2 linked regions of the Arabidopsis thaliana genome follow. The protein of the gene in region 2 interacts with the protein of the main gene of each other region in a biochemical or structural test. Each region holds a gene or a part of one and is shown on either strand. Other genes may lie near its edges.

What was found.
Region 1: the proteins of CO (region 2) and NF-YC1 form a complex in vitro, tested with the Arabidopsis thaliana proteins (one study listed by BioGRID).

Annotation. Positions count from the first base shown.
Region 1 is NC_003074.8:18,008,000-18,011,752, reverse strand, and holds NF-YC1 (nuclear factor Y, subunit C1), read left to right. Parts: upstream 1-1,734; 5' UTR 1,735-1,814; coding exon 1,815-2,515; intron 2,516-2,856; coding exon 2,857-2,860; 3' UTR 2,861-3,160; downstream 3,161-3,753. Other genes in the region: NPC6 (non-specific phospholipase C6), read left to right, coding at 1-100; AT3G48600 (SWIB complex BAF60b domain-containing protein), read left to right, coding at 390-608, 737-1,066, 1,448-1,585; XTH11 (xyloglucan endotransglucosylase/hydrolase 11), read right to left, coding at 3,412-3,753. UniProt on the Arabidopsis thaliana protein: Stimulates the transcription of various genes by recognizing and binding to a CCAAT motif in promoters.
Region 2 is NC_003076.8:5,171,102-5,174,854, reverse strand, and holds the start of CO (B-box type zinc finger protein with CCT domain-containing protein), read left to right. Parts: upstream 1-1,769; 5' UTR 1,770-2,157; coding exon 2,158-2,919; coding exon of another isoform or gene 2,920-3,060; exon of another isoform or gene 3,061-3,152; coding exon 3,153-3,512; coding exon of another isoform or gene 3,513-3,517; 3' UTR 3,518-3,753. Other genes in the region: AT5G15843 (uncharacterized protein), read right to left, coding at 2,473-2,626, 2,944-3,060, 3,159-3,517. UniProt on the Arabidopsis thaliana protein: Transcription factor that acts in the long day flowering pathway and may mediate between the circadian clock and the control of flowering.

The DNA.
Region 1 (3,753 bases), on a different chromosome or scaffold from region 2:
TCGGTTCATTAGAGCTAGTAAAGAGGCAATGAAGCTTGGTGCCGATAAATCTGCTATTGTCGATATGCGATCTTCGCTCACTACACGGCCACACAACTGATTAAAAATCTTGTTTGCATTCGTCTTCCTATGTTTTGATCTGAAAATGTGTGATTTTATGTATGGAAACTAGAATTGAGGAACAAAGAAATAGACAAAATTCATTGTTAATGTTAGTGATATGTTGAGCAATCGAAAGATCTTCATAAACTCCCAATATAACTGAAGCCCAATTAGGCCCATATATAAATATTCAACAAGGCCCAAAATGAGTTGCATCAATTTCTTTAGTTGGAGACTTTTCTTCAATTGTTTATTGTTAGGGGCAGTGGAGTGAAGGAGAAACAACAATGTCGCCAATTTCTAAGATTCTAGGAGGATGCAGGACACTGATGGCGAAGGCGGTGACTAATGCGACGGCTACCGGCGCCGGCGTTGATAGAAGAGGAGGAATTCATAAGATTTTTCCAGTCTCAGAGTCGCTGGCTAGATTCGTCGGCCAAAGCGAAGTCTCTTTTTCCACCGCCATGGAGAAAGTGGAGCAGTATACCGATGATCACAATCTTTGGGTTAGGGATTTCGAAACTCTTCTCCAGTTTCCTTTCATTCTACTTTTTTTTTTGGTGATTTCTAGGTCTTTTGATCTGATTCTTTCTGTTGGAGCAATGTATCTGATTTATAGGTCTTTGATTTGTAGAATCCGGAGAATATAGAGGAGATACTGTGCGATGATAACTTGAAGACGATTTTCGATGGCCAAGACAAAGTCGTCGGAGTCAGAGAGATGACGGAGCTTTTGTTGCGACATTTTCCTAACGTTAGAACTATGTCGGCGAAGGTGAAGGCTACCGGTGGAGGTACTATAGAAAAATGGGGGTTCAATGATATTGTGAAAGTCTCAGAGCCGCTGGCTAGATTCGTCGGCCAAAGCGAAATCTCTTTTGACGCCGCCTTGAGAAAATTGCTAGATTATGCCTTTGATCACAAGCTCGTAGATGAGGGTGTTACTCTGCTCGAGTTTCCTTGGGTTAGCTTTTTTACTTTCCTTATGATCTCCTCTTTACATGTTTATGCATTTAGGGATTGGAGTCTCTAGAGACTGGAGAATGGTAGTGATTTGATTCTTGTGTTGGTCATTATTGGAGTAATTGACATCTACGCTGAAAATGTTGTTTACTCACTTGAATGTTTTGGTTTTGTTTGTGGAAATGGTCTTTTCTGATTGCATATTTTGAAAACTTAGCTTGTCAATTCATACACTGTCAGATGAAGAATTCACCAGTTACGAATATAGAGTGTCTTTAGGTGGCTTTGGACCTTGTGCTTGCTTCTCTGTTTGGTGGTCATAGATTGCATTTTCATGTTTAGAGATTATGATTTGTTTAGAGCTCACTTGTTTCATTTGTAGATTACGAAGTGTAGTAAATGGCGGATACGATGCGATGATACCTTGAAGACGATACTCGATGGCAAAGACAAAGTCGGAAATAAAGAGCTCTCTTCACTCTTGATGCAACATTTTCCTGACAGCTCTCTTCACTCTTGATGTTTTCTTTTGGTTCATTTCGGATGCATATGAACTTTGGTACGTGTAAAAAAAAAACAAAATTTAACTTGAAATAGAAAATAGAAAAAAATTAATTTAGGAAATAGAAAAAAAAGAGAGAAAATCATCAGCTACATCGCTGTCCACCTTATCCACTTGTACCCCAATCCCTTTGGCAAAAACTTGTCACGACCTTTTTGATCCAAAAATCAAAATCCAAAACCGACCAATGGATACCAACAACCAGCAACCACCTCCCTCCGCCGCCGGAATCCCTCCTCCACCACCTGGAACCACCATCTCCGCCGCAGGAGGAGGAGCTTCTTACCACCACCTTCTCCAACAACAACAACAACAGCTCCAACTATTCTGGACCTACCAACGCCAAGAGATCGAACAAGTTAACGATTTCAAAAACCATCAGCTTCCACTAGCTAGGATAAAAAAGATCATGAAAGCCGATGAAGATGTTCGTATGATCTCCGCAGAAGCACCGATTCTCTTCGCGAAAGCTTGTGAGCTTTTCATTCTCGAGCTCACGATCAGATCTTGGCTTCACGCTGAGGAGAATAAACGTCGTACGCTTCAGAAAAACGATATCGCTGCTGCGATTACTAGGACTGATATCTTCGATTTCCTTGTTGATATTGTTCCTAGAGATGAGATTAAGGACGAAGCCGCAGTCCTCGGTGGTGGAATGGTGGTGGCTCCTACCGCGAGCGGCGTGCCTTACTATTATCCGCCGATGGGACAACCAGCTGGTCCTGGAGGGATGATGATTGGGAGACCAGCTATGGATCCGAATGGTGTTTATGTCCAGCCTCCGTCTCAGGCGTGGCAGAGTGTTTGGCAGACTTCGACGGGGACGGGAGATGATGTCTCTTATGGTAGTGGTGGAAGTTCCGGTCAAGGGAATCTCGACGGCCAAGGGTAAAGTTTCATTTTCTGTGCAATGTGATATACATTGATTGATTACATGATCGTCTAGGGTTTTAGGAGATGGAATGATAAACAATCTCTAAGTCTGGTTTGTTTGGGATATAATCATGTTAGTCCAAGATTTCTCTGTTTATTAAGGTTTTAGGATTTGGAATGATAAACAATCTCTAATCCTGTAATCATCAAGATTTGAAAATTGTTTTCATATCGCAATTTGCAAACATTGCTATATCAAACAACTAGATTCTCTTGCTCTTCTGCTGAATCTGAATGAATCAATGAACTATGGCTCCTTAAACTTACCTTTCAATGTTTTGGTATCATTTTTGCAGTTAAGCTCAGAGTATTCCAGATGATGCTTGACCTGCTTGAAGATAGCAGATATTAGTCGACCTCGCCTTGAATTTTGGATGTGTTTGATAGATTATGCCTAAATTCAATGAAAAGGCTTCGTTAAAGAAGAGTAAAAAAAACTCTTGTTTCTCTCTGTTAACGTATATGTTATTGTAGCAAAACCATCATTGCTGCGACTTAGCCTAACTATATATAATCTAATGTGCAGTTTCTATTGTATGCTTCTTTCCGATTTTTTCTCATATTTGACTTATCTTGATGTCTGAGAAAATGCAGTCTTGTAACCTGTAAGGTTCTTTTCAGAGGTTTCAGTGCTTGTAAACCTCAAGCAAACCCGATCTGAACCAACTTGGTTCTGTGTAAATAGGTATCTGTATATGAACTCGTGACATAGTAATGTATCTAGCATTGATGACAATAATGTTGTTATTTGATAGAAAAGGCTTATCATAAAGCATCTTACAGTAACATAAGTTATTTTTTCAAGATAATTGTTTTGTAGGCTTAACCCTGTGACAGGTATTGATCTTTCTCTAAGTGTAACTTCCACATTCTTGAGGCACCTTTGGATATCGCTGTCTGTCAGAACAATAGTCATAATCCAGGTACGTCTTCCTTGCGTTTAGGTACAGTGTCTTCTCTTTAGAGCTTAGCTGTTTGCGATTCCACCAGAACTTAGGATCAGTGCATTTATCTATTCCCATGAACTCAGTCTTACACCCTTCAATCTTTGATGCCTGGAACTTAGCAATGTAAGGCATCTGCTTCGGGTCAATTATCGATCCGTTTTGCACACTTCCCATTAGGAACATTGTCTGCACCGATGGGTAGTAAACATCTGGATTCTTGCTGTACACCCTGATCGGTGTATCGTC
Region 2 (3,753 bases):
GGTCCCTCGACTCTTATTCTCTTCTCAGTCTTTGCAACTAAATAGGGTTTTCGTTAATCTGAAAGAAGCAAAGTATTCGAAACCACGGAAACCTGATAAAGAATGAAAACAAATAAGCAATAGTGTTTTCTTGAAAATCTCGATGCAACTTTGAGGATATTGTTACATATGATCTATTACTCGTAACAGTTATCCGAAGGCCTACACATGTGAGAGAAGTTCCAAACCGCTACAACAATAAACTTAATTAGAGACTGTCAACGAGCAATAATAAGCAAAACTACTTTTTTCTTGAGCTACAAGTGAAAAGGCCAATACACAATTTACTCTTCATGAACTCGAACCACGTTACAATCTCCAAAAAATTTCATCACCAAAGCACTAAAAGCCAAAGATGCCTCAACTTATCCAACTTGGCAGGATAAAGATCTCCAAAAATGCTTACTAAAGAACCTAGAATCTTTTCTTTAGAATTCAATGATCATATAACCATTTCATAACAATTCTAAATGCCATTACATTCATCGTAAAACCAGTAAATAACAAGAACTTGTATGTTAAGTTCCAATTACCAAGCAAAAAAAAACTTTTCAAAGTTTAAAGTTCAAAATGGGAAAGAGAAGTGCGGTGTAAGCAAATATGAAAGAGGAAGAGATGCGAAAAGTGTATCCTAGGACCAGCATTTTATACAAAAAAAAAACACTCACTTTTCAGCTCTTAAGGCATAGAGTGAAGGTAGCCATATGAATTTGGCCACTAGAGCGTCCGTCAAATCTCATTCTTTTTGGACCACATAATGGGTATCATACATTCACTGGACCCAAAAGCGTAACTGGAGCTAGTCCTCAAACCTAGAGAGTATCGTATCCTGTAGCTTCCACATAGTAAACATTATGAGCATAACACCAACAAGGCAACTCCAAGTACTAATGGTTATTAGTACAGGAAAACCCACGATGCTAAACACATGAATGGGTCACCAAATAGAGTGAAGATGGTTAAATTGCATCTATGGATCATGTGGACTAGTAAATGAGTGTAGCAGAAAACTTCACAATTACCTCTGTGATCTTAGAAACATGTCCTGAAAATTCCATACAAGTGTCGTTTGTATTAGATTACTTCCACAGGTTGAGATCTAATAAAGCTACAATAAATAGTATAGAGTATCATCATAAACCCAAATTACAGAGATGTGACAACACTCATGAGTCATGTTTTGTAACTACTTACTATAATGGTTACCAAGTGCAAATTTCTACATACTATATATGATAAATCTAATTATTGCTCATGTGGACTCCAAAATGCCTTTTAAGTTTTAACTTGTGCGTCAGGTAAATTCTAATTTGTAGTCTCAAGACTACTTGGCGGATTCGAGTTTGATCCTAGAAAATCCACCGTCTCTATGTTTTTCATGTCACTTTTCCGATATGATTCTCATTACCATGACTTTATGAACCAGATTAAACATTATAACACTTTTCATCAGAAAATCCTTCGAAAGTTTCAATTGCAAATCTTTCTAAATGATGCAGATGCATTCACAAATAATGGAACAACAACTATACCATATTCACGAGTTTGTCTAACCTTTGTATAGGTAGTCAACCCATAACAGTTGGTGATGGCTCTGACACTCGAAGCCTTACTCGGAGAGATACCTGAACAGTAATCACAAGGTTCAGGATGAATATTCAACCACTTAAACTTTGTATAAAGCCAAAGAGATAAAACGAATCTAGCTTTACTTTAAATAAAATGCATATGAAAATAGTAAAAGGTGATACGAAAAAATAGTAACAATTTGCCTGCAACACCATGGCATTATCCGGACCACTTCCTCTTGAGAATCTCAGTATGGCAAGTGGCAAAACCTAAGCAACTTGTGAACGGGTCCCAACGAAGAAGTGCATAGGAGGAGATGTTTACACTTTACACTTTACACTTTACACTTTACACATAGGCCTTCCCAAAAGCTCAACTAGCTGCAAGAGGATCCAATAACATGTAAGAGCCACTAACGCTGTGCCACGTGTAGGCACTCAGGATTCGATCTCCCCTCTACTTATTCTCTCACACCAGATATAAGCTTTATTAGCCCCTTCTTTCAGATACCAGCTCCCACACCATCAAACTTACTACATCTGAGTTATTATGTTGAAACAAGAGAGTAACGACATAGGTAGTGGAGAGAACAACAGGGCACGACCCTGTGACACATGCCGGTCAAACGCCTGCACCGTGTATTGCCATGCAGATTCTGCCTACTTGTGCATGAGCTGTGATGCTCAAGTTCACTCTGCCAATCGCGTTGCTTCCCGCCATAAACGTGTCCGGGTCTGCGAGTCATGTGAGCGTGCTCCGGCTGCTTTTTTGTGTGAGGCAGATGATGCCTCTCTATGCACAGCCTGTGATTCAGAGGTTCATTCTGCAAACCCACTTGCTAGACGCCATCAGCGAGTTCCAATTCTACCAATTTCTGGAAACTCTTTCAGCTCCATGACCACTACTCACCACCAAAGCGAGAAAACAATGACCGATCCAGAGAAGAGACTGGTGGTGGATCAAGAGGAAGGTGAAGAAGGTGATAAGGATGCCAAGGAGGTTGCTTCGTGGCTGTTCCCTAATTCAGACAAAAATAACAATAACCAAAACAATGGGTTATTGTTTAGTGATGAGTATCTAAACCTTGTGGATTACAACTCGAGTATGGACTACAAATTCACAGGTGAATACAGTCAACACCAACAAAACTGCAGCGTACCACAGACGAGCTACGGGGGAGATAGAGTTGTTCCGCTTAAACTTGAAGAATCAAGGGGCCACCAGTGCCATAACCAACAGAATTTTCAGTTCAATATCAAATATGGCTCCTCAGGGACTCACTACAACGACAATGGTTCCATTAACCATAACGTAAGGCTTTTGTATATTTGTTACCCCTTCAATTTAGCATCTTCCCATAACGCAGCAGGGTGAATTCTTTCATCATACACACAAATCCACTGATCCACTGCCAACAGTTGATCTATAGCACATAGAAATTTCACCAGAAGTCTATAATAAAAACAATATATGCTTCCTTTTGCATCGACTCTCTTTAGTCCTCTTACCAGGGGGATTGAGAATGTCTTTGTTTCTGTCATTAGGCATACATTTCATCCATGGAAACTGGTGTTGTGCCGGAGTCAACAGCATGTGTCACAACAGCTTCACACCCAAGAACGCCCAAAGGGACAGTAGAGCAACAACCTGACCCTGCAAGCCAGATGATAACAGTAACACAACTCAGTCCAATGGACAGAGAAGCCAGGGTCCTGAGATACAGAGAGAAGAGGAAGACAAGGAAATTTGAGAAGACAATAAGGTATGCTTCGAGGAAGGCATATGCAGAGATAAGACCGCGGGTCAATGGCCGGTTCGCAAAGAGAGAAATCGAAGCCGAGGAGCAAGGGTTCAACACGATGCTAATGTACAACACAGGATATGGGATTGTTCCTTCATTCTGATACTCCTGTGGCAAAAAGAAAAACTAGATTGCAAGCTGTAAATTACTTTTAGTTTGAGATTATGTTAGGTTTGGTGAAATTCTTAGCTTCAAGAAGTATTACTACTGTTGTGCAAATGGGTTTGTAGTTTTGGCTAATTAAAACTATAGTATTCTTCTTTCTCTGCATTAGTTAAACAAAACCAGTCTAATTGGTACAGATCCCCATTTGTGAAATATGGATCATCAAGAAGTGAAAACGC